Schizosaccharomyces pombe: one gene and its partners. Each later gene encodes a partner of the first gene's protein in a complex. Each region holds a gene or a part of one and is shown on either strand. Other genes may lie near its edges. The genes, in order: mdb1, rad4 and hta2. A codon is read from its position in the direction of its gene.

Region 1 (6,210 bases):
CTGCTATTACACCCAAAAAAAGGGTAATATGTAAGAAATATGGCAATAGGTTGAATTATGTGTTTACATACACACAGTACGTAGGCATTACTGTTTAGAGGCCAATTTAACAAAATACACCGATGCACTAAATAATTTAATGTAATTAAAGCTATCCTACAAGTATAAAGTTTTGTAAACAAATAACTAATAAACACTTGAAAAGAAACATTATGAAAACGGTATTAATGAAATCTTACTATAATTAATTTAATTTAATTTAGATTATCACTAACGAGCAATTTTCCAGAAAATAATATCCCCGGGTTCGACAGTATAATCTTTCCCTTTCGTTTTGCACTTTCCTACGCTTTTACAAGCATCTACTGATTTGTACTTTTCGAAATCAGAAAACTTTATAACTTCTCCTGCAACGAACTTCTTCTTGAAATCTGAATGTATTATACCGGCCGCGTCAGGCGCCTTAGAGCCGTCGGCAATAGTCCAAGCTTGAACGATTTTTTCACTAGCTGTGAAATAATGTATCAAATTAAGTGCAGAATATCCCGCACAAATAATTTCTGATAATTGAGAATTTTTGCCCAAACTAGCGCATTCCTGCGCCGCCTCTTCAGGCGTAAGCATGAATAGCTGTTCTTCAAACAGAACTGAGAGAGGTATCACTTGATCACCAAAACTATTTTTCTCAACCCATTCTTTGATTCCTTTTAATGCTTCTTGTTCATCGGAAAGATAATCGTCTTGATCCATATTTACCAGATACACCACCGGTTTGGCAGTGAGTAAGTTTAAAGAATTTAAAATGGGAATCTGCTCGTCATTCCATTCAGCTTTAGATATTTGACGGCCTTTTCCTAATACTACTTCTAATGCTCTTCGTGCCGTATCAAGAGCTTTTGCACATGTTTTGGGCGAGCGGCCCTCCTTTTTTAAATATGATTCTAAAAACTCTGCGTCTTTTAACAATAGCTCTTCCTGTATTATTTGTAGATCTCTTACTGGATCAACTGACTTTTCAACATGAGGAACTTGAGCCTCTGGAAATGCACGTACCAATTGAAACAAAGCATCGACGGATCTAATGTTTGAAAGAAACGCATTTCCAAGACCTTCTCCCTTGCTTGAATTCCTTGTCAACCCTGCAGTATCATAAATAGTTAATTGCGCTGGGATACGCGTTTTAGGCTGATAAATTTCACAAAGCAATTCATACTGTGAATCAAGTACAGGGGCTTTTGCATGAACGGGATCGATTGTAGCGAAAGGGTCTTATAAATTTGTTTTGTTAGACAACAGAAATACAAAATATTATATCACTTATAATCAAAACTAATACTTGACTAAAATATGACAACGTACAGTTAGCAGGATTTCCCAGGTTTGTCTTTGTAAGAATTTGACTATATTTATTGTTAATACCGATCAATGAAGCAAATTTATCAGTTAAACCCTTGAACAAACGTACAATAAGGTGGATTTCCCAATGTTGGGCATTCCTACAATGCCAATTTTCAAATGATTTCCAGGTCGTCCCAATCGTTGCCGAACAATAGAAATATCCTTTTGTTTTGAATAGTATCTCCTAGTACAATTTACAGAAGGTAGACACTTTTGCGTTGACAACACTATCCTTGTAACTATACCACGCATTTCTTAACCATTCGATGAATTAATCACAGAGTTGTTGCTAAGCTTTTTCACGCAGTAACCAAAACATTAATTGTTAATTCCTCCTTGAAATTTTTATACGATCAATAGCAGGATTTGTAAAATGGAGATACAGTTTGGAAATCAGAGGTGTAGGATGGTAAATTCTGGGGGTTTTCTAGCTACTGATGGTTCCCATCTGAAGGAAATGGAAACAGATGATGTTCTTGTTGAATTCTTAAATATAGAACATCAACTTTTTATTCGAAATATTCGAGCTATAGTTAAAATAGCCGATACAACGGTGCTTCCATCTGCTAGCGACAAAAAGCTTCTTTATTATGTTTTTGACGAAACGGTATTATCTTTTTTCTATTGATTAATTGAGTAAGCTAATTATATACTTTTTTAGAGAGTAAGAATCAACGATACTCCTGTAATTTTTTCAAAATTAGAGGAGGATAATGCAAACGTGAATGAAGGATCCAAAATGGGAGTTATGACTGTATGTGCATTCCCTCATTATACTATTGTCAAAAAGACACTAACCTATTTTCCAAGGTCCCTAATACCCCGCAGAAGCCAAATTTGCAGCAACAAAAATTTGAAGCGATCAATGCGAATGAAGATCAAATTGATTATTCAAGTAACTTGGAACAAAATTACAATTCTTTAATTAGGCAAGGATCTGACCAGGTCATTCCCCTTTCGCGATTCGCTTCAGAAAAAAGTGCTTTAGAATTGGAAAAGGAACTCTTTTCTGAGAGAATTCCAGAATCGCAATCTGCCGCTGAGCCTGTTCTTAAAGTTGAAAACTCTGAGAATGATTTGGACGAAAAATTGGTATTGGACGGTCAACATGTGGAAGGCGACCATAGTTCTGACACTGAAGAGGAGGTTGTTTCTGAAGATCAAAAACAGTTGAATAAGACCGACGATGAGTCAACATTTATTGAATCACACCAAATTTATATACAAGGAGAAACAAAATCTCCTTCTTCTGTCTCGCAATCATTGAGTGGAGACCCATCCTTGAAGCCAGCAGAGGTATTTGATAGAAAGCAAAGTGCTGAAATAAACTCACCAATTGAGAAGGATGTGAATCCACAGCAAAACATATCGGACAGCTCTATAAAGAACAATAGCATTCACAGTGATGAAGTAAATCCAGAGGTTAGGCCAGATTTAACCCCCTCCAACGAAAATGAAGAAAGTAAAAGAAGTGCGCCGGAAATCGCTCTCAAAGAGAAGGAATCCACATCCCAGGATGAAAGTAACAGAGAAGCAGAAGAGGCACCAATTTCCACTAATTATTCTTTCCCCTCATCATCTTTAGAGGATCAACCTGACAAGAATGTGCAGTCCTCGGCAGTTGAAAATAAAAACAAGCACACAAATCTGGTAACGTCGAGTTTCAACCTAACTAAACCGATGAAAAGTTTTATAAGGAGAAATGGTCTAAGGGTGCAAGAAAGTGTCACAGACGAAACCGACTTTGTCATCCTTGGTTCACCTCCACTTCGGAGGACACATAAGTTTTTACTGGCGACTTCTCTAGGTATACCACTTGTCTCTTCTCAATACTTGACAGACTGTATAAAATCAGGTAAAGTTTTAGATTTTCGTAGCTACAAATATAAAGACGAGGAAGCAGAAGCCAAGTGGGGATTTCGTTTGGACGATATCCACAGAAGAACGTGTTTCAATGGGAAAAGACTATACATTACAAAGGCAATTCGAGATTCGATGGTAGGGGATTCTATACACGGACTTTACTCAATTTTGGAAACATCTGGAGCTGAGGTAAGTGAAAGATGGAGAATATCTAGTTATGATAGGCTAATGATTTAAATAGATTGTTGGTGATATTAAAAGGGCTCAAGAGAAGGACACAATTATACTTGCTCAACCTGACAACGATCAAGAAGGACGGAATATGAGTGCTACTGGTTTAAATGTGTACAAGATTGAACTAGTAGCTTTATCCATCTTGCGTGATCGAATTGATTTTGATGAATTTTTGATTGACTATGATGCTGACAGTCCCACCAAAGTAATTGGAAAAAGAAATGTCTCAAAGGCATCCCGAACCGGGCAAGGAAGAAAACGATCCTCTCGTTCATCTTGGAACAAACCAAGTGCAAAGGAGCAAAGAACATAAAATTAAAGGTAAAGAGGACATCGTTTACTTTGTCTATTATTTATTTATAGAAGTATATTTGCAAACATATATTCTTGAGTTTCTTCTATGAAGGAGGACCATTAGAAATTATACAAAAATAGAATTTTAATAATGATATTAAATAAACGAGCGTATTTAAGGGCGAAGGATAAAAAACCTACACGGTTATTTAATGAAATATGCGATCTGTTAGTTGATTGTTAAAATCTTGAACCAATAAATTCAAGATACTCAACATAAATGAATCGATTTCAATACGCTTTTTTTTCTATTTTCCAGATAATGTATGAAAAAAAATAGTTTGACCAATTCCCGAAATTTATAATTATTACATCTCAATTAAAAAAACAAATAAAGAAATAAATAAAATGATATGAAATGAAGTACAAAAGGTTAATAAAAATAAATAACAAATTTCTACACGATTAAAAGATATAAAAGGTAAAAATCTTTATGAGTAGAAAAACGCATATACTTATTTGCGGTTTTAAGAGGAAGTAAAAGGAGGTAATTCCGAAACATAAAAATAAAGGGGCCTCATTATAGTGCTTCTTTTTAGTCTTGCAATTTTATTTTATTTTTTGAAAAGGTTTAGTTGTTTGTTTATTGACTACAAAACACAGCAAATCCACTCGTCATATCAGATCAAGCATACCGCATATCTAACAAATGATTCTGCAATGCATTGCACTTCACTGTATAAAATTTATTCATAAAATGCGCAATATGTATATCAGGCACTTATAGGTTTACCCAAATATGCTGTTAAATGGAATACACAGTTTTTTGCGCCATCTTACCATTTATAAAGCGTGAATTTAGAGACCCGCACATGCTTCCGCACACGGCCAAATGAGCGCTAAACCTCGGACGAGAAAGTGACCTGTGTGCTGTTTCTATTTATCGCATCGCTACGATGACATCATAGTGTGGTGAAAGCACCAGCTGTTATAAGCAGACCAACGAACCAACTCACTGTTCAACAATATTAATCAAGTTCTATTTCTTATACAAGCAATTTGGAAAATAAATCAAGTGTTAAATACATTCTTTGCTTGAGTGTATTTTATATTTTTTAGTGTTCTGTCCTTGCAATCGAAAAAAGCGCATTGACAGGTTTCGAAGCGAACAAGGAAATATCGGTTTTACTCTTGAAACAGAAATTTAACTGTATGTGAAAATTTTTTTTGGAGTTTCATTTACTAATAAAGAAGAATAGTGTGGTATTAAAAAAAATACGCAAAATATTGACTACATATTTGTTGAAATAAATTGGCGAAGGATTTATACGTATTTTATATTTATTTTTCCTCTTTTCAACACCATTATAGCGTTGCATACAATTTTCACTGCTGACAACCTTTTAAATTTTTTTTACTCTTTATTTTTTCCAGCCCCTTGTAATTAGGAAATCTAGCTTTCTCCTTCATCATGCCCCAATTTTTCAGGACCCAGCCTTTGACCGATAGGACTACAAGTCATGGTTTTGCTGAAGTTTCTTCCGAAGACCATTGTTATTGTGTTTGGCTCGTACCTGCCATTTCCTCTGATATTGAGTTGAGATATCGAACGTTTGTCGACTGGGCTGTGTGTCACAAAGTCGACTTTGAAGAAATGCAGTTACCTACCGCTCCTCACATTACTTTAGCTCGTGGTATCAAGCTGAAACCAAATCAATCGTTTAAGAGTGTTTTGCAATATATCGCTTCCAAGCGCAAGTCTCCTTTGAACATAAAGTTCGGCAAAGTCGCTATTGGGGATTCCTTCTACAAACGTGTATATATTCAGGTAGAGAAAACTCCCGGCTTGGAAGAATTGCAAAATGCTGCTTATGACTTGGCCGATACTTCTGATCCTTTTAATGTCATCGAACATCCCTATATGCCTGTCATTTATGCAAAGAGTATTTGCTCTGACTACTCTACTTCCGACCCCATTGAGACGATTTCTTCAATCGGTCAAGCCAGTTGGGGAAAGGCCTGTTTTCTTGAACTCATTCAATTAAACAAGGCCAACCATCAAGGATACGTCTGTGATCGTATTGAATTTACCGTCTAATCATTTGCTTTCCAATCTTTTTTTTTTTTTTCTTATTGATACTTTGCAAATATACCTAAACAAAAAGAGATATAGCAGGATGATACCTAGTTATTTCGCTTTAGTATTTTAATGAAGATTTAAAAAGCCTTTTTGTAACTTTATTTATTTTTATCCCTTAATGGTTTTATTAAGGTGAAAACAATCTCGCTTAAATGGATTATTCAAACCCTTAATTTTTTTTGCTTCATGTATTAACAATTTCTACCTTTATAGTATCTTTTTCACTAACTTAAATGCATCTGGTGATCACCTTTCCTGCTTTACTTTTAAACTTTGACTAA
Region 2 (12,604 bases), 1.8 Mb from region 1:
TTGTTCATACTTTAGGTGATCATAATCATAAAACTGGTATTCTAATTTATGCCAATTCCATGACCCCAAGTGCCGCTAAAATCATTGCTACTGTCACCGGCCAGTTTACCATTGAGACTTTCCAAGAAAGCGATTTGATTGTCAACATTACTCATCATGAGCTTGTTCCTAAACATATTCTTCTTTCACCGGATGAGAAAAAAGAACTTTTAGACCGCTACAAGTTACGTGAAACTCAATTACCCCGTATTCAACTAGCTGATCCTGTTGCTCGTTATCTTGGTTTAAAAAGGGGAGAAGTTGTGAAGATTGTCAGAAGAAGTGAAACTAGTGGCCGTTATAATAGCTACAGAATTTGTGCATAATTTTAATTGGTACATGTGGGCTAGAAATATCGCTTCAAAACTACCATCTCTTTCTTTTTCTTAAAAAATTTCAATTTGAACATAATAATTTAAAATTCAAATCGAATAAAGCAATGTCTATAGCTATTACAATGAGCTTAAATTTTTGGATTAGATAGTTTTTAGAACAATACTTTATTAGTGATTTATTCAATAAAACATCAAGGGTTGGCATTCACGTTTACTTTTTATTACCAAAAGTAGATAGTTTATAGTCAGTACTGCTTTGTATCAATATTTCATTAAGTTATCATAGCACAAACGACTGTTTAAACCGAAGACTAAAGCATCTTCTTCTTGCTGGTACTTATTTTAAGCAAGCTAAAAATAAGTTTTATTATAGGTATACTAGAAAATAGGCATACTCGAATCTAATAAAGTGTGAAGGTTGAAAAGTTTGGCGTTCGTTAAAGTTTTAAGGACATTATCAGAAGTTGAAGCAAAGGACAGCCACTCCTTTCAACTATCATCATCAGGAAACTCCCACAAGTAACAATCAACACAATTCGGTGTGTGTGAGCAATCTGGTAATTTTTCGTATGCATCTATAACATCATTCAAAACAGTTTGCATACGATGGTGGGTAATAGAAAGATGCCACCCTTTGTCCTTTACAACATCATATAAACATTCCTGTCCTGTATGACAAGTTGATTCCATCGCATAACCTCCGGCCCAGCATAATGAAGTTGGACCTGTGCATTTGCCCAAATATATTGGATCAGCATTGTGACCAAAATGCCATACTAAACTTTCTTCGTCCGGTAATCCTGGAGGCATTGGAAGATGAAGACGTCGGGCAGCCATTCGATCACCAGGTGCTTCAAAAGTGACTGTTGGAATTCCAAAAGAAAGTCCCATTAAAGCGGCAGTAGCGCCACCTAATGAGTGTCCAGTCAGCCAAATCTGTGCATCAGGGTATAATTCTTTAACACTATAAAAAATATCCAATGATGCAGAATAATACCTTGAGTCATCTTGCACTTCATCCTCAAGGCAAGTTTGACTACAGGTGTATGTATTTTTATAGCAACCACAAACCGTAGACCAAGCCCAGCTGACACGAGCGCAACAACAGGAAAAAAGTAAATTGTCATTAACGCGATCCTTCTGCGAGGTACCGCGTCCGATTCCGAAGATGGACGTACCTTTCATCGCAATAATTATAGTGGAATTGTCATCATTGGAAAAAACATGTCCACGTAGACCATCTTCCTCCCAACCAAATCCTTCAGGTGGAGTTATATTCCAATCAGGTCCTAAATCTAACCAGTCCCCGTCGAAAGGAATTTTTTGGTAAGCATTGTAGCTCATCTTTCCAAGGGAGTAAATCGTTTCTTTATCAGTAATATCAGGAATCACGATTGCTTCCTGTTCCCATAAATCAGCTGGTGAATTCGCTTCAGAATAAATTCCTTTCATAGACTTATATCTATAATCAGTCAACGCATCGCGAGACTGATCCTTCAAGTGAACGGAATATCCTTTCTTCATTTTCAACGGCAATTTTGATTCACTCTCTGCGTAAACACTTTTCTTGGCCACATCTAGTCGATAATATGATATACTGTCCTCATTGAGTCCGTAATGAAATACATGCTGTAATTTGACATTAACCTTATCAGGCACATTTTCCGAAGATTTGATAACACTTTCAAATACTCCTGTACAACTAATCCTAATGATGAAACAAAAAAGGAAGAAAAAGCGCCTCAAGAATAGCAATTGAGACATTGCATGAATAGTTTGCTTTCCTTTTGTTTAAAAGAGCAACCGAAAAACGTTATGCGAATCTAATCCTCAATTCTAATAAATACAATGGGATAATTCAATGATTATGCTTTATCAGCTCATGTACATGCTTAACTCGTTTATGTTGCTCATAAATAGATGTTTTAAGTTACTTAACGCCTTTGGTAAGCAATAATTAATACATTACACTGCAGTAAGTTACGCATCATAGCGTGGTGTTGTATGCTGATAATGTCGCTATTTGATATAATATCTAGGTAATGGACACTGTAATTTGTGAATTTAGGATGAATGTATGGCATACAGGTTTTGTGACATGTTCTTCATAACGATACCGGAGCCTTAGACTATAATAATGCTATGATTGTAAGATTTATTTATATTGTTCCTAAATACGGCAATGTTCCTTCTCAGAAAAGACTTTGCAAATGTAACATGTTTTGCTATGGAGGACAAGGTATGAATTAATCATCCTTCGCTTTATAGTAGCACATTAGGTGCTTTTTATTCCCATGCTTAGCGGTAACCTATTTAATGGCAATAATGAACGCTTGAAATTTAACTATATTAGCAGTATGCGCAGCTCTTGTTGTTTCCCTAAAAGAATAAAGTCATATATGGATATATTCTCCTACATACGCATACTGATAACGATATCAACGTAAACATTTTTAAAGTCAGTTGGAAGAATTTAGATGTCCAATCTGAATTTTCTGTTTTTAAAGTCACCAAGACCTTCCAAATACAAATGCAAATCAGCAGTTTTGTTCAGCGTCAGAACCTTAGTTAGCATGATCTTTATCGTTATTTTAGCGATAAACATTTTTTCAAAGAAGTGCTAGGTCTCGTAAATAAAAAATAAAGACACATTGCATTGCAAAGTTTGCTTAACACTATTGAAGTTGAATTTTTATGTCTAGTAAACACTGAACTCTGGTTTGTGAGTAAATTATTGTTTGTAATGGGGAAAAGAAATAAAAAGGTATGATACTTTGTTAATCGGCCTTCTTTTTTTTTTTTAACAAAGATAGGTGACTCAGGGCAAAAGGGCTTACAATGACAAAAGTGAAATTGTCTTAGAGTAAGTGTACAAAGGTGCTTTTTTACGGGGTTTAAAGCTTTATTGGGATATTTTTAAGAAATACATTGAAAAGATCATTATTGTAGGAAATAGTCAGCTAACATGCAGAAATAAACAATTCGAAGGTTACTATAAAAAGCAAAATTTATTTCGAGGAAAGCCAAATGATGAGTTTGATAGCTTTATGGAATATATGAGAAAGCCCTTACCAACTACATTTCGTATTTGTGGATATCGTCACCATGCTTTTGAACTAAAAAACCATTTTGAAAAATACTACGTACCAAGCCTTAAAAATGTCGTCCATGAGGGTCAAACTATTCCACCTCCAACAGTGCTGCCTTGGTACCCAGATGGTCTTGCATATATTGTCGATGCGCAAAAAGATGTTATTCGAAAGAGCCCGCCTCTTAAACGACTTCAGCGGTTTCTTGTAAGTGAAAATGAAGCTGGAAACATTAATCGTCAAGAAGCGGTTAGCATGCTTCCTCCTCTATTCTTAGACGTTGAGCCACATCATGTAATTCTGGATATGTGTGCTGCTCCGGGATCTAAGACTGCGCAGCTTATTGAAGCTGTTTATAAAAAAGCCAATATCAAGGATGCTGCTCATGACAGCAAAAATCTCAAGAGTGTTGAAGGTCTTGTAATTGCTAATGACGCTGATCCCAAACGAGCCCAAATGCTTGTTCACCAAATCAATCGTTTAAATTCCCCGAATATTTTGGTTGTTAATCACGATGCATCGACAATGCCCAATATCTATGTCAAAGGTTCATCTCCTTCTGACGGCTTAAATGTAATTGAAGAAAAAAAAATTTTAAAGTTTGACCGTATTTTAGCCGACGTGCCTTGTTCAGGAGATGGCACTTTCCGCAAAAATTTGTCTCTTTGGAGGGAATGGAGTGCCAATAGCGCCTTTAGCCTTCACCCTTTGCAATTGAGAATTTTGATCAGAGGATTGCAACTTTTAAAAGTGGGTGGTTGTTTGGTTTACTCAACATGCTCCATTAATCCCATAGAAAATGAAGCTGTTGTAACAGCTGCATTGAAGGCTACTGGTGGTGCAGTTTCTCTTGTTGATGTGTCTAAAAAACTACCCCTACTTAAGCGTGATCCCGGTCTTTTATCTTGGAAGGTTTTGGATGATTCTCTTAACGAATTTCAATCACCTGCTGAGAACACCAATGATAAGATCGAGTTAACCGAATCCATGTGGCCTCTTCCTGAGGAGGAAATGAGCAAACTCCACATAGAAAGATGGTAGGTTTATTTGCCTGGATGAGAACTTTGAAACTTTATCATTTTCTAATCTCTTAATAGTGCCAGACTATATCCCCATATGCAGAATACTGGTGGTTTTTTTGTGGCCGTACTCCAAAAAACTGATCCTATTAATTCCCGTTCGTTTGATCCCAAAAAGTATACTGCTAGTATGGAAATTCTACCACCCGAGAACAAGAGACAAAGGACGGAAAAGGGTGTTGACGAAGCTTCTAATTCTACATTAACTAAATCTGGCAACAGTTATTTTGATGAAGAGCCCTTCGTATACATTAATCCTGATGATACTAGCATCAAAACTATTGTGTAAGTTATATTACCATGGCAGGCAAACTAACCCATAGTGATTTTTATGGTATCGATCCTAGTTTTCCCCGTGATCAATTTTTTGTTAGAAATCAAAGCGGTATTCCCGTTAGATCAATTTATTTTGCATGTTCTTTGTTCAAAGAAATTATTGAAGCCAACACGAATCGTGTGAAATTCGTGCACGGCGGTGTTAGATTCTTTGTAAAGCAGGAAATCAGTCAACTGTTGAAAGATTTCTCGCTAAAAGCTAACAAAGATATTTGCAATTTTCGTATTCATAGTAACGGTGTCAATATCATTAGCCCTTTCTTAAACGAGAAGCATTTTTACGATGCTGGGTTAAAAGATTTAAAAATTTTGGTTAAAAACGAGTACCCACATGTTGAGCAGTTTTCTGAGAGCGGAATGTTAAAAAAGGAATTTGAAAAAATGCCTCTAGGATGTAACATCCTTAGAGTGGATGCTCAAACAAAAGATGGTGCACTCATGGATATGTTAATATTACAGCCTATCTGGCGAAGCCCTACGAGCTGTAATTTAATGCTTGCTAGAAAAGAGAAGCAGTAAGTCACGTTTAATGTTTTTTGTTACTAACTTTAAGAAATCTTTCGTTGGAATTATTTGGAATGGACGTGTAAAAATAATTAAACTTGACATAAACTATACATATAAATAAACAATGTTTCAACGCCTACGGAGTTTTCGATGACTCTCGGTAATTAATAGAAGCCCATTTTCTTGATTTTGGAGATCATTAGCAGGCGGGATAGCATCTACATTAGAAGTCAACTGAGCATAAAGCTTATGTTTCTCACGTTGAGCGTCTGGATCTATATATGAAACATGCTCTTGTGGAGATGTCGGAGTTTCTGGTTTTGTAACTGATGACTTCCAAACAGTATCAATCTTGTCGCCCGGTACTGTCACGGATCTCCGAGGAAATATGGTTGAATCTTTTGAATTAGAATTTAGTTGAATCAATGTATTAGACCTAATATGGTTGTTTTGGCGCTTTTTAACCGATAATAAGGAAGGAGAATTATGAGGCGTAGAATGTCCTATTGGCTGCTGAGCAAGAGAATTTTGTAATCGTGTATCTCTATCAGACGTTGGAAATACCATATTATTTTGGTTTGTAAATTTTTTTATTTCTTGATTTTCTTTCTTATCGATAGCCCATGGAGAAACTTGATCAATGAATTTTCCGCTTTGAATGATGTTCCATAACCAAGCTACTCCGACGACTCTAACGTTCCATTCTGTAGCATGTTGTATTTTAAATCTAGTTTTCATACTGAAAGGTTCATTTGTGTTTACCAACAAAATACTTCGTTGGACCCCAAGAAATTCATGCACAACTGCTCCCAAGATGGTGAGAGCCTTCTTCAAATGCGAAAGTTCTTCCCCCTTAAATCCAGTAAGATGAATGCTAAGACCATTAAAATAAGGAACCAGAGATGGACGAAAAAAAGGTTTTGCTAAGGCATGTTCATCGATTCCAAAGATTTTTTTGTAATAAAGACACCTTTCTATCCACCACTCATTAACTGTAGGAAATGAGAAGATGGGCAATTCATCGACAGGGAAATAATGAGGTATAACGACAAAATCAATGGTAGAAGACAAAAATTCAGAAATCTGGCCTCCATTATCGCTCAAACATTTATGAAGCCTGGAGACCTTAGTGTTTGGAAACTCGTAAAGATAAAAAGTCAAATTTTTAAAAAGTTTAGCTTCGTTTTCGATGTTGAGTTCCGTATCTAATTCGTTTTCTTCTAAGGGTTGAACAGTTTCGGGAGTGAAATCATCCAGTAGTACTGAATTTTCTTCAGAACGGCTGGAAAATTCAAATTTTCCATTATTAAGTTCTTCCCATAAAATACTTCTATCTCTCTTCTTTCCCCGTTTCATAATCACGGGTTCTAAATCCGCTTCCTCCGCCAATGCAGCCAAGGATTGACCAGACTTTTCTTTATTCTTGCTTATTTTTTGGTTTTCAGAATAAGACTTTGCCTCCGTAGTATTGGGATCTAGACGAACATACGCGCCAAGTCCAATTTTTTCGGCTGGCATATCCAATTGGAAATACTGCGGCTCAAGGACAGCATTCCTTTGTATACTTTGCCATAACCATTCAACGCAAACTACGTTGATTTTCCACTTTAATGCATATTCATATTTGCGACCCGATGAGGTGCCAGCTATTAAATGAGTTACGTCTCTAGTTAAGTCAGGGCAAAATGTACCACCATGCTTAAGCACATAATTTTCAATACGAGATCTCTCTGGTTGGCCAATGTTGGTAAGACAAACCCGGCATTTAAATAGAGTTGGTAGAAAGTGTTTATCGACGAGCAGGCCATCATCCAGATCTTCTCCCTGTACCCAGCTTTCATAAAGAACAGGTATCCATTCACTAGACATAATCTTTATGTCTGGTCTGGATTTTGCGGCAAACTATTGAAAAGAATGTCAGCATTTACTCTTGAAGGATAGTGTAATTTGTAAGATTTTACGACATACCTTGTATTTTGGAGTATCAAAATCGCCGGCTATAAGATGCGTGACATCCTTAGTAAAGTCTGATCTATAGGCAGCACCAAGTTTAGTTGCTTTTGTAGATATCTCGGTCTGTCAAGTTAGTAACACAAATAACAAAAAATGCGATTCGTCGTGCAAAAATCTTACCCTTTGCTTTAAATCGATACTGGTACAACATATCACGAAGCCTTTGAGTGGTTTAGAAGAACCCATTCTTTCACTACCGACATTTATGAGTTCTAGGTGAGTAGGTATAGGTAATTTACGAGTACAAACGCGTCCATCACCACTACATATTATTGTGAGGAAATGCAAAAATTGGTAATGTTTAAAAGGGAAAATAAAGAATGTTTAGAGAAAATCGACTTTCGAAGGTTAAGAGTAGATTGAAGCTAAAACCAAGTTGTTATATGCTACCGTGGTGGGTGCGAAGATTGACAAATGGAGAGTCATAAAAGGCCAAAATTAAATTTTAAGCATTTATTCGAAAAACTCGACTGTATTGGCAATGTACACGATGCTGTATAGCTGAGTAGCATCATTGGTTTGGGGGAAATTATGAACAAGCACCAAGAGCTGGCTATTATATTATTCCTCATTTAACCTGTATCATAATTATAAGATTTATTGAGTAAGAAGATAGTATATGGACACCACCTTTGTCCTATATTCTCTCGGTAAAAAATATCCTCTTATCCAGTTTAATATTTATATTGGATTTTAGTAACGCAAAGGGATATTGCCCTAAAGGGTTCATAGTTATATGGAATATAACATAATATTACAATTTAAATGTAAGATGAATTTATTGATAATCTGAGCATCCCATTATCTTTAATTTCAATTAAACCAAGTCTAACTTTAAGATTGTGTATGGCATTTCGTGTATACAAGTTTGTTTACCAGCAGTGGCAATTGCTCAAGCTTACCATTAAAGCAAATACTTTTAAAGCAAAAGTTTGATTTTACAAAAAAACCGTAAGTATTCCATTCTAAATTGCTTCTTTCGTATATCTATACTCTTGTCGCTGCAAGCCATACAAGACCTACTTGCTTGGTAAAATAGGGCAGCAGTACGTACTGTAAGTCACCTTTAACAAAACACCACTTGTTGAATAAAAAGTTCATTAATCGGCGAACCTATCGCCTATATTAGATTAAAGGTCTAAAAACAAAGCATTGAGGGAATAGGTACTATTTCCTCTTTTTTAAGTCACAATGGATACGAATTCTCCGAAATCTATTGATAAAGATGCAAATTCGACTGAGGTAGATGCAGCTGAGCAAGATGCTGCTTCAGTTAAAATCAATTCTACCCGTGCATCCCCCAATGGAAGTGACTTGCTGAATGATGATTCTGAAGCTGCTAAAATTACTACAAATGAAAAACAGAGTTCTCCCGTGGATTCCCATAACGAAAGTCCAAATGATACCACAATTAATAAAGGCGAAGATGGGAATGAAAACGAAGTCGATAATGTAAATAACAATGACAAAAAAGAAGATGAGGATAATGTTGAAGAAAACGAGGAAGAAGCTGATGCAAACGAAGAGGAAGAAGAGGATGAAGAAGATGATGAGGAAGACGAGGAAGATGAAGATGAATCAGGTGGCGGTAGAAGAAAAAGGGCTCGCCATGACCGCCGCAACCAATTCCTTGATATTGAAGCAGAAGTAGATGAGGACGAGGAAGAGCTTGAAGATGAGGAAGATGAAATTGGTCGTGAAGATGGTTTCATTGAAGAAGAAGTTGGAGCGGATTACGTCGGTGATGATCGTCGCCATCGTGAACTTGACCGTCAAAGACAGGAACTACAATCTGTTGATGCTGAACGCCTTGCTGAGGAGTATCGTGAAAAGTATGGTCGTAGCCAAACTGTTGTTGGAGATACAAGCAATGTTCCCCAACGTCTTCTACTTCCTTCAGTGAATGATCCCAATATTTGGGCTGTTCGCTGTAAAATTGGCAAAGAAAAGGATATTGTTTTTACCATAATGCGGAAAGCTATGGATTTGCAATATACTAGCTCTCCATTAGAAATCATTTCAGCATTTCAACGTGACTCGCTGGTCGGTTATATATACGTTGAAGCTCGAAAGCAATCACATGTTCTAGATGCACTTAATGGGGTTTTAAATGTTTATACAAATAACATGATTTTAGTTCCAATTAAGGAAATGCCGGATTTACTCAAAGTTCAAAAACAGGTTGTTGAACTGTTGCCTGGTGCATATGTGCGTATACGCCGTGGAAAGTACGCCGGTGATCTCGCTCAGGTTGACAACCTTTCAGAAAATGGTTTAACCGCACGTGTACGTATAGTTCCTCGTATTGATTATTCCGATGGGTTGAAACGAAAGAATTCTGCCACTCGTCCTCAAGCAAGACTCTTTAATGAAAGCGAAGCATTTAAAAGCAATCCTTCTAAGTTTTCTAAACGTGGTCCTAGACTTTTCCTCTTCAACAATGAAGAGTTCGAAGATGGATTTTTGGTAAAGGACATTCGTATTTCCTCACTGATAACTGAAGGAGTTAATCCTACACTTGACGAGGTATCCAAATTCAATCCTAATAATGAGGATTTGGATCTCAGCTCTTTGGCTCTCAGCGTCAAAGGGGGCCATGCTGAATTTCAGCCTGGAGATCATGTCGAGGTATATGTTGGTGAGCAGACTGGAGTAAGTGGTGTTGTTGAAAATGTTCGAGGTAGCGTTATTACCATGGTATCCTCTGATGGTTTACGGTTAGATGTACCATCTCGGGGCCTGAGGAAAAGGTTTAGACATGGTGATTATGTAAAAGTTATAGCAGGAAAGTACAAGGATGACACCGGTATGGTTGTCCGCATTTCAAAGGACGAAGTTACTTTTTTGAGTGATACTCTTATGACTGAGTTGACTGTATTTTCTCGTGATTTAGGCGAAGCTAGTTCTGCACAAGCTGTTAACTCTGCATATGAATTACATGATTTAGTGCAGCTGGATGTTAACACGGTTGCCTGCATTTTTTCTGTCGATCGTGATACGTACAAAGTTATTGATCAGAATGGAGGGGTTAGAACGGTTCTTGCTTCTCAAATTACCATGCGCCATTCCAATCGCCGAGGTGTGGCTACAGATAGAAATGGGGCTGAAATTCGGATTGGCGACAAAGTAAAAGAGGTTGGAGGAGAGGGAAAGCAGGGAACGATCTTGCACATATACAGAGCTTTTGTTTTCTTGCATAACAGAGATATCGCAGAGAATAATGGTGTATTTTCCGCTCGCAGTCGTAACGTAGCAACAATTGCGGCAAAGGGTGCCCGTATTTCAGCAGATTTGACGAAAATGAATCCAGCTTTATCCAATGGGCCGGCTTTGCCTCCGGTTGCTAACTTGAAAAGAACGATTGGACGTGACAAAGCTATTGGCGCTACTGTACGCATCCGCAGAGGTCCTATGAAAGGATTACTTGGCGTTATTAAGGATACTACTGATGCAAATGCACGTGTTGAGTTACATACGGGAAACAAAATGGTTACAATTCCTAAAGAAAACCTGCTATATACTACTAAGACTGGTGAATTGATTAGCTATACCGAATTTATTGAGCGTTCTAGAGGAATAAGACCTGGTAGTATCAGCACCGCTGATGGACCAAATGTACCAAACTGGGCCCAAGGAGCCCGTACGCCTGCTGTTGCAAATGGTTCACGCACTCCAGCTTGGAATACTGGAAGTCGCACACCTGCGTGGAATTCTGGTTCAAAGACACCTGCGTGGAATTCTGGAAGTCGCACCCCAGCGTGGAACTCTGGGAATAAAACTCCTGCTTGGAATGCTGGCAGTAGAACACCTGCTTGGAATTCCGGAAATAAAACTCCTGCATGGAATGTTGGCAACAAAACCCCTGCTTGGAATAGTGGTGCTAAAACGCCTGCATGGAATGCTGGTAATAAAACTCCGTCCTGGAACAATGGTACTAAGACTCCAGCTTGGAATGCTAATCAGACACCTATGGTTGCTAATGGCACTAACACCTCATGGGGACAAACCCCTGCATACGGGGGATTCAGTGAAACTAACTGGGATACCGAAGATAATTCAAAGCCCTATACTGCTCCTACACCTGGTGCGTGGGCTGCTCCCACACCAGGTGGTTGGGATGATGAAGAAGGAGATTCACCCAAATATGTACCTCCTTCTCCTTAATTTAAAATCAAATTTTTGAAAATATCGACAGATAGTTTTGTTAAAATTGTTAAGACATATTCTAATTAACGTAATCTTGTTAATAATATTAAAATGATACGCACTTTACCAAAATGCATATATGTATATTTAAAAAAACTGAATCTCATAAAAGCATACATTAAATATTTGTAACTTTAACATAAACATACTTATAACATCGATGGCATGCCATCATCATCCTGAACTTTAGACCACTTCTGATTTATTTTATTAAGAATAGATTCAGGCACGGCGACATGACTAGAGTGTAGGTCTTGATGGTAAATAGGCCTAGGCAAATTTCTAATAACAGGAGCCTTCGGGTTATGACTATGAGATTGGCCCTCAACTTTAGTTAAATTGTCAAGTTCATCCTGATCTTCATCAGAACTTTCAGAAGATGCTTCCTTTTGATCGACTACAACTTTTTTTCCTGAAAGACTAATCGACAATACCTTCTTTTTTTTCTTTTCCTTTTTAGCCATGGCCTTTTGCATTCTAACAAGATTTAAAGCTTTCTCAGCTGGAGATGCCCAAGTATCAGAAGCTAGCGAAGTAGGATCAAAATCAGCAGCTTCGTCGATAATACGAGTTCGTTGAGCAGAGGTTCTATCAAAATTTAATAAGACATTTTTTCTTTCTTCAGCCTCCTGAGCTTTTTGCTCTAGTTGTTTAGGATCGAGAAAAATTGAATGCAAGGAGGAATTTTGCAACCTTTGAAAATTATTTTTACTAGAAACGGTTTTGCTTTTTCGTTTTTGATTGGCAGCTTGCTTTAAGCGGCTTCCCTCATGCTTCAACTCTTGAATTAATTCCAACTGTTGAGCTTTGCTAATGACAGGATTATCACAAAAGGTGCTAATTAAGATTAGTAAAAACTTGTTAATAAGATATAGTAGTAATATTACTTACCAAGGCCCAATCCCCTCAACAATGCAAATTATTTTTCCACAATTCAAACAATTGGGAGCCGCCTCATTAAGCGGATGCTTACGTCCTTGACAATTGCAGACTCTTCTTT
Region 3 (6,768 bases), 1.2 Mb from region 1:
TTTCTCAACTCGCAAATCGTTTGACTTCTAGGGAATTATATGATTTTTTCGAACAAGCTGGTCCTGTTCGCGATGCTCAAATTGTTCGAGACAAGATTAGCGGACGATCGAAAGGGTATGTCTTATAATTTTTTTTTTTTTTTTAAATAGATATTATTCTGTTTTTTTTTATTTTTCAAATTGGGTTCGTTTGCTAACGAATATAATATAGTGTTGCATATGTGGAGTTCTGTCACGAGGATTCTGTACAGGCGGCTATTGCGCTTTCTGGTAAGCGATTGTTGGGTCTTCCTGTCATTGTACAACTTACAGAGGCTGAAAAAAATAGAAAAGCTCGTGAAGCTGCTGAGTAAGTTTTTACTAAGCATCCATTATTTTTGTCTAACTTATTTGTAGATTGGCACGAGCCGCTAGCGCTGAAATTCCATTTCACAGATTGTGTGTCTCAAACATTCACTTCAACCTTACTGATGAAGATGTTAAGGCAATTTTCGAACCTTTTGGCGACATAGAATTTGTACACCTTCAGCGTGATGATCAAAACCGAAGCAAGGGTTTTGGTTATATACAGTATGTTTTCAAAAAATTAGATTGATATTTATATCTATTTAACTTCAACGACACTAACATTATATTTTTTAGATATCGAAATCCTATAAGTGCGAGAAATGCTTTGGAGAAAATGAATGGCTTTGATTTAGCCGGAAGAAATATGAGGGTTTGTTTGGGCAATGATAAATTTACTACAGAAACAACTAGTTCCATGCTGAAGCGCTTTGACGAAACGTTGGCTCGCCAAGAACGTAGTCAACCTTCTCAACGTAATGGCGGTTCATCAACCTACGAATCACAAGACTATCGAGAAGCAGCTCCTTTATCTCCTACTGAAGAAGAAAGCCGTCCCATTACAAGAGATGAGCTAATGAAAAAGTTAGCACGCTCTGAAGACATTTCAGACAACAGGTATGTCTTGTTTTAACTTGGATCCTTTTTGTCTTCTAACATAAAGCAGTAAACTGGTATCTGAACCAGAGCCTCCAATTCGTAGTAGATGTGCATTATTAGAAAACATGTTTAATCCTGCTGAGTACGTTTTTTTTATGATTCATAATTGACTAACCTTTAAAGGGAAACATCACCTAATTGGGTGCAAGAATTGGAGCAGGACGTCAAAGAAGAGTGTGATGAAAAGTACGGCAAAGTAGTTCACATTGCTGTTGTACCGAATGAATTGGGGCAGATATTTGTAAAATTTGAAAATGCCGATTTTGCTGAAAAGGCAATCACTGGACTCCATCAACGTTGGTTCGGAGGGCGTACAATAAAGGCATCCATTTTACCGGAAACGGATTACTACTTCAAATTCCCTAATGCCAAAACTGCTTAAACGTCGCTCTCTACTAAACTTTGCTCTGGAATTGATGTGTTTTACCTTTTCTCAGAAAGTTCTTTTAAAACAAAGCTTTTTGTACTTTTGCACGTCCTGTTATATTTAGTTTAAACTACGATGGTCGATATTTAGTAGCAGACTTTTCTTTTTCCGTAAAATTAAGAGTATACTTAGTTTAATAAAATCATAAATATGTACATATATTGATTGAATTTTAATTATGTCTAACTAAATACATTCGACGAATTTGCAGGATCATATATTATAAGGTAGTATACAATCGTTCTAATCATAGTTACTGTGTCTTTTATATATTCCCTAAATATACTTAACGAAATTCGTTGTGCGTTCCAAATGCTGAGTATAATATCACTGAAACGAGTCTGCTATCATTCAGTGATGAATGCCCATAAACATCCATCAAAACCCTAACCCTGTATATTGCTGTATATAAAAGAGCTTGTCGCTGCATCATCTTCTTCTTCTCTAAATATTGGGCAATTGAGCAATCCTGCATACATTATTCCAATTTAAAACTTAAGTAATTTCTTTATCAAGCATGTCTGGAGGTAAATCTGGTGGTAAGGCCGCAGTCGCCAAGTCTGCTCAATCTCGTTCCGCTAAGGCTGGTTTGGCCTTCCCTGTCGGTCGTGTTCATCGTTTGTTGCGTAAGGGTAATTATGCTCAACGTGTTGGTGCTGGTGCTCCCGTTTACTTGGCTGCCGTCTTGGAGTATTTAGCTGCCGAAATCCTCGAATTGGCCGGTAATGCTGCTCGTGATAACAAGAAGACTCGTATCATTCCCCGTCATCTTCAATTGGCTATTCGCAATGACGAAGAATTGAACAAACTACTTGGTCATGTTACTATTGCCCAGGGTGGTGTTGTACCTAATATCAACGCTCATCTCTTGCCCAAACAATCTGGTAAGGGCAAGCCTAGCCAAGAGCTTTAAACTCTTAAATGAATGATAAATTGTATATTAAGATTATTTGTCGTTTATACTTAACTATTATTATACCACACTAATTGCTTGAACTGTTGGTTTCGTGACTTAATTCGTTCACACCTTTTTTTACGCAATTTCTCTATCAGAAATTTAGTTTTATCATTATATCAGTGATACAGAAACAAGTGCATTATTCGGTTGAGAAACTTTTTCATATGACTCATAATTCTTACGTTTTTATTTGGTTACATACTCTGTTTCAAGCTTAGTTGTTTGTACAGTACATTATTCGAGTTTGAATGATTGTTAGGTTTCCTGATGGTTGATTGACGCTTTCTTTTCTCGTTTGATGAACTTTCCGTGTTTTCCTCTTCCCTTTATTATACATTTCCTTTTTCAGCTTCCTTTGTATAGGCATAATTTGTTTATTATAGGTTTATTTTAATGAAAGAACTATTGGTTCAATATTCGCTAAACTTTTTGAGGTGCTTGTAGCATGTAATTACACTGCGTATTGTCTAGGTGCCTAAACATCAACCCAGATATATGGATTTGAATGAGTTTGGTGATTTATTATTGGTATAATTTAATTATGGTAGTAGTAACAGGGGCATTTAGGAAGTTGCAATTCAAAACATGCAAAACATGAATACTTCCAAAGCACAAAACATTTCAAAACTCTAGGGGGTTATATTTTTAATAATCTAACTATCTATAAAGCACCAAAGAAAGAATAAAATAATAAAAAGAAGATAATGTGAAAAAAGAACAAAACCAGTGAAGTGATTGCTTTAATGAAGCAATAATTATATATAACCAAGGATAAATCCATATTCCACTGCTTACGAGGATATTTAAAAAGGCTTGAGAATTTCCATAACTTTTTCGTAAACAGTGAATACAATACCACCACTGAGAATCAAACGAGCCAAACGGGGAGTAGCACCAGACCAGAAACGCAACAGACCATCTTGAGTTAAAATCTTATAAGCGCAATGAATACTGTTTTTGTATTCCTTACTAGCACTCAAAGATTGCATACGACTCTTGACAGTATCGATGGGTTGCGTACAATAAACGGTAATAATACCAGCTACAGAACCGACTAAGAAAGTGGTAACGGTACTCAACTTCTCATCTGGTGGTAATCTGCTTTGAAGGGATTGCTTGATACTATTATAGGCAGTAAAACGTACACCAGAATTAGCAGCTTGACGAGCGACAGTTGCAGCGAGACCACGATAAAGCCCACGAATACCATTCTCATGGACAATAATTCTTGAGGCTTGTAAAAAGCCCTTTAAACGGGGATTTGGACGCTTGCGATCATCGATGATCGCCGTTTTGATACTCTCAAAAGGAGTTAGTACCAAAACTGACTCGGCGACACCAGCGCCCAACCCGGCGAGGACAGTACGAGGACCAGTCAAATGTCCGTGTTCATCTGAAAGAGACTTTTTAATGCTATCGAATGCAAAAAATCGTACTGCAGCTTTAAGGGAATTTCCGACGATTACTGTGGAACAACCACGATACCATTCTAGTCCAAAAGGTGGTAATTTCGCTTTAGTGCCTTCAACGTTACGATATAATTGAAGACGAGTTTTGGCAAATTCAGCCGGATAGGTAATGGAAATCTCAATAGCTCCAGCAACACCGCCAGCTATAATGCTTTTTACGGGTCCAGGTTTGTTGGAACTTTTTGGGTTGGTTTTTGCAACAGTCGACATTATCAATTAAAAGTGAAATATAAACAAAAAAGAGAACTTGAAACAAATTATTTTTGGGAGAGTTGTTATGAGTACAAAAAGTTATCTAACGAATGCTTTCAAAAAGATGGGTTCAAGATTAGCACAATACACTGACAACCTATTTGACTAAACCTTTTAATTATTTAATCAAAAGAGGGTACCTTTTCAAGCTTTGATTTGGCAGTAAAACCGACCAAGCAACCGAAAATCGAAGTATGTTGTGGGTAAATAGATGGTGAAAAATTTACGAAGTAATACTTCTTCTTCCTGTGCGACTATACCTTTATTACCACTTTGTTGTACTATCATATAATTTGAATTGTTTCAATATTCTTTAGTTTTCATTTGTAAAATATGTTGTTAGGCTTCAAACCTAACCGGAATGATAGATTGTAATGCTTATTACATGTTGAAGTAGTTTATCATCATCATGGTGATTAGGAGAGCGATTGAGATAAATTAATGTGAGACAAACTAATTTAAGTTTTAAAATAATTCCTTTCAATTCATTTTCAAGTTTTGCTATTTAGGCAAATCAATCATCTCAACCAGTTCATAAACGAATGTTAAGCTTCGTATAGTAAATATAAACAAATAAAACTTATTAAAACTTTGGATCAAAAAACTTATTGTAGAATCCTTCACTCAACTTCGATACAATTGCAGTGTATCAAAAGACTAGATGTTTTGTCTCTATTAGGGCGCTTTCCACATGGTATCTTCAGTCATATTTGTTATATATGCTTATGGTAAGATTTACTATATACGTAAACATATTTAGCCGTCCTCTGTTACATTCATGCAAATTGGATATCATAATAAATGAATCACTAGTGCCTATTCGACTTCTCTGTAATGGCATAGAACAAAATCATTGTCAACATTAACATAATAAATTAAAAACTAACAAACTTATGTAGAAATTTTTATGAATACTTCAATGGGGGACTCGGTAGACTGAACTTGGCAATCATCTTCTGCCACTCCGTTTTCGTAGTTAAAAGCCGCCAGCATAGTTTCTTTCCCGATTGTTACCATTGGTGCATGCCATACCCCAGCGGAATAAGTAACTCCCTGAGCTCCTTTAGCCACAAAAGCCTGAGTTTGGTTCCAGTCAGGCATTCCATCTGGAGCGTTTGGAGCAACAGCAATTAGATAGGCCTGCTCATCGCTTGAGCGACACATCGGTATAAAGGTTTGAGTTGTAAATGGATGTCTTTCAAGCACAGATATTTGAAAGGCTGCGTGCTCGTCATTAGCCGGGTGAACTGAAGGATGTGTGGAAAAAAAATTCCACACGCCTTTCCTGGTCGAAGCACTGGATGATTTTTCATAGTTTTGTATACTTTCTGAAACTTTTAAATACTTTTTTGCTGTACCTCCATTAGCACTAACCATTTTAACATCATCCTTTTGTTGAACCACCGACCCAAACGGAGCAAACGCTTCATCGGTCAAGGCTTGAGCATATATTTTTTTAGCTTCCATGTTTGTTATAAAATTTTTTAAAAGTTGAAACGTAAATTCTTGAACGATTACAATAACCACTTTTAACTAGTCGTTTTGCAAATGCACTGTAAAATCACTATTATCTTTTGAAGTTGTCGATGCTTAGTAAAGTGCTAAGAGTAAGAAAACAATATTTCAGTGGTATAGTTAGATGTTTATGTACAGCATTAATATCCAATGACTAAGGAAAGAATCTTATCGATGATAGTAGCAATGATGAAACCGAAATTACGGAGTGTATTGAAATATGTTTTGGTGACTTTTTCGTCTAATAGAAAAAATACGTTAACGGGTTTCAACATGATTTTCTCTTTAAGAAATAGACAATCAATATGTGTTAGGTTAAAGGGTTTCAAAATATCGTGTGTCAGACGATCAACTATTGTCGCATTTGAATTAAATTAACTATGGAAACGTTATATTTCAACCACTATACATTGCTAAGAATAAAACCGCTATACTATGTGTATATTAACATTTTAGTAACACGGTTTCTACGCTTTGTAAGGATGCTTAGCAGACCAAGCTTGTGCAATTTGCTCTCTGGTTGCAACCCAAACACCCTCCTTTGAGGTGATATGCTCCATTAGCTTTTGAAGGCCACGGAAACGTCCAGGTCGGCCAGTTAAACGGCAATGTAATCCGATTGTCATCATTTTAGGAGCACCTTCCAGCCCCTCTTCATATAAAACGTCAAAGGCATCCCGAGCATAAGTGTAAAAGTCATCAGAATTGCAAAAACCGGGAGCAACTGCATATTTCATGTCATTAACCTCCAAAGTATAGGGGACTATTAAGAGTCCTTTGTCATCTTCAGCACCAGGCTTGCTAGCAAGTGGATCGGCAACCCAATAAGGGTAATCGTCATTGTACTCATCAGAGTCAAAAGGTTGAGGAAGACCCAAATCCTTATAAACCTGACATACAAGTTTACGGGTGTTTAAGCTAGCACGACCCGTATACCAACTACGAGGAGCAGAATTCGAAGGAGAGGCCTTTTGGATAGCTTGCACACTCTTTTTAATATGCTCATATTCAGTTTCGGGAGGAACTCCTTCATAATTAATCCATCTATGAGAATGGGATCCAACTTCGCATCCTGCTTCCTCCATAGCACCAACAACTACTGGGTTTTTCTCAACAGCTTGACCAATAGCCCAGCAAGTAAA

What was found.
Region 2: the proteins of mdb1 (region 1) and rad4 are in contact, whole or in part, in a crystal structure (PDB 6HM4), measured with the Schizosaccharomyces pombe proteins. Residues at the interface, in NP_593964.2 of Schizosaccharomyces pombe: Gly106 (codon at 2,141), Val107 (codon at 2,144), Met108 (codon at 2,147), Thr109 (codon at 2,150), Val110 (codon at 2,209), Pro111 (codon at 2,212), Asn112 (codon at 2,215), Thr113 (codon at 2,218); in NP_593190.1 of Schizosaccharomyces pombe: Leu109 (codon at 7,137), Thr110 (codon at 7,134), Asn111 (codon at 7,131), Arg117 (codon at 7,113), Pro133 (codon at 7,065), Asp134 (codon at 7,062), Leu135 (codon at 7,059), Thr136 (codon at 7,056), Arg137 (codon at 7,053), Arg150 (codon at 7,014), Lys151 (codon at 7,011), Tyr154 (codon at 7,002), Trp158 (codon at 6,990).
Region 3: the proteins of mdb1 (region 1) and hta2 are in contact, whole or in part, in a crystal structure (PDB 7P0L), measured with the Schizosaccharomyces pombe proteins. Residues at the interface, in NP_593964.2 of Schizosaccharomyces pombe: Thr391 (codon at 3,052), Ser392 (codon at 3,055), Ser393 (codon at 3,058), Arg430 (codon at 3,169), Arg431 (codon at 3,172), Thr432 (codon at 3,175), His433 (codon at 3,178), Lys434 (codon at 3,181), Leu436 (codon at 3,187), Met505 (codon at 3,394), Asp508 (codon at 3,403), Ser509 (codon at 3,406), Leu513 (codon at 3,418), Ala565 (codon at 3,626); in NP_594421.1 of Schizosaccharomyces pombe: Ser128 (codon at 2,331), Gln129 (codon at 2,334), Glu130 (codon at 2,337), Leu131 (codon at 2,340).

Annotation. Positions count from the first base shown.
Region 1 is NC_003424.3:2,880,782-2,886,991, reverse strand, and holds mdb1 (BRCT domain protein Mdb1), read left to right. Parts: upstream 1-1,650; 5' UTR 1,651-1,771; coding exon 1,772-2,005; exon of another isoform or gene 2,006-2,059; coding exon 2,060-2,152; exon of another isoform or gene 2,153-2,208; coding exon 2,209-3,450; intron 3,451-3,502; coding exon 3,503-3,808; 3' UTR 3,809-4,199; downstream 4,200-6,210. Other genes in the region: SPOM_SPACUNK4.13C (NTPase Ylf2), read right to left, coding at 271-1,268, 1,360-1,400, 1,466-1,650; SPOM_SPACUNK4.15 (2',3'-cyclic-nucleotide 3'-phosphodiesterase), read left to right, coding at 5,261-5,887. UniProt on the Schizosaccharomyces pombe protein: Involved in DNA damage response (DDR) mediated through its interaction with phosphorylated H2A proteins hta1 and hta2 which mark the discrete foci of DNA damage.
Region 2 is NC_003424.3:1,055,278-1,067,881, forward strand, and holds rad4 (BRCT domain protein Rad4), read right to left. Parts: upstream 7,636-12,604; 5' UTR 7,585-7,635; coding exon 7,519-7,584; intron 7,462-7,518; coding exon 7,354-7,461; intron 7,288-7,353; coding exon 5,515-7,287; 3' UTR 5,469-5,514; coding exon of another isoform or gene 5,432-5,468; 3' UTR 5,394-5,431; coding exon of another isoform or gene 4,866-5,393; 3' UTR 4,828-4,865; coding exon of another isoform or gene 4,561-4,827; 3' UTR 4,501-4,560; downstream 1-4,500. Other genes in the region: DNA-directed RNA polymerase subunit Rpb5, read left to right, coding at 1-365; autophagy-associated lipase Atg15, read right to left, coding at 864-2,138; trm402 (tRNA (cytosine-5-)-methyltransferase), read left to right, coding at 3,118-3,138, 3,188-3,237, 3,346-4,500, 4,561-4,827, 4,866-5,393, 5,432-5,468; DSIF transcription elongation factor complex subunit Spt5, read left to right, coding at 8,590-11,562; transcription coactivator Rqt4, read right to left, coding at 11,754-12,441, 12,496-12,604. UniProt on the Schizosaccharomyces pombe protein: Essential component for DNA replication and also the checkpoint control system which couples S and M phases. May directly or indirectly interact with chromatin proteins to form the complex required for the initiation and/or progression of DNA synthesis.
Region 3 is NC_003424.3:4,048,429-4,055,196, reverse strand, and holds hta2 (histone H2A beta), read left to right. Parts: upstream 1-1,878; 5' UTR 1,879-1,949; coding exon 1,950-2,345; 3' UTR 2,346-2,751; downstream 2,752-6,768. Other genes in the region: RNA-binding protein Rsd1, read left to right, coding at 1-115, 212-349, 397-570, 643-963, 1,013-1,087, 1,129-1,387; mce1 (citrate transporter), read right to left, coding at 3,194-4,069; dal1 (ureidoglycolate hydrolase), read right to left, coding at 5,003-5,578; chitin deacetylase Cda1, read right to left, coding at 6,094-6,768. UniProt on the Schizosaccharomyces pombe protein: Core component of nucleosome which plays a central role in DNA double strand break (DSB) repair. Nucleosomes wrap and compact DNA into chromatin, limiting DNA accessibility to the cellular machineries which require DNA as a template.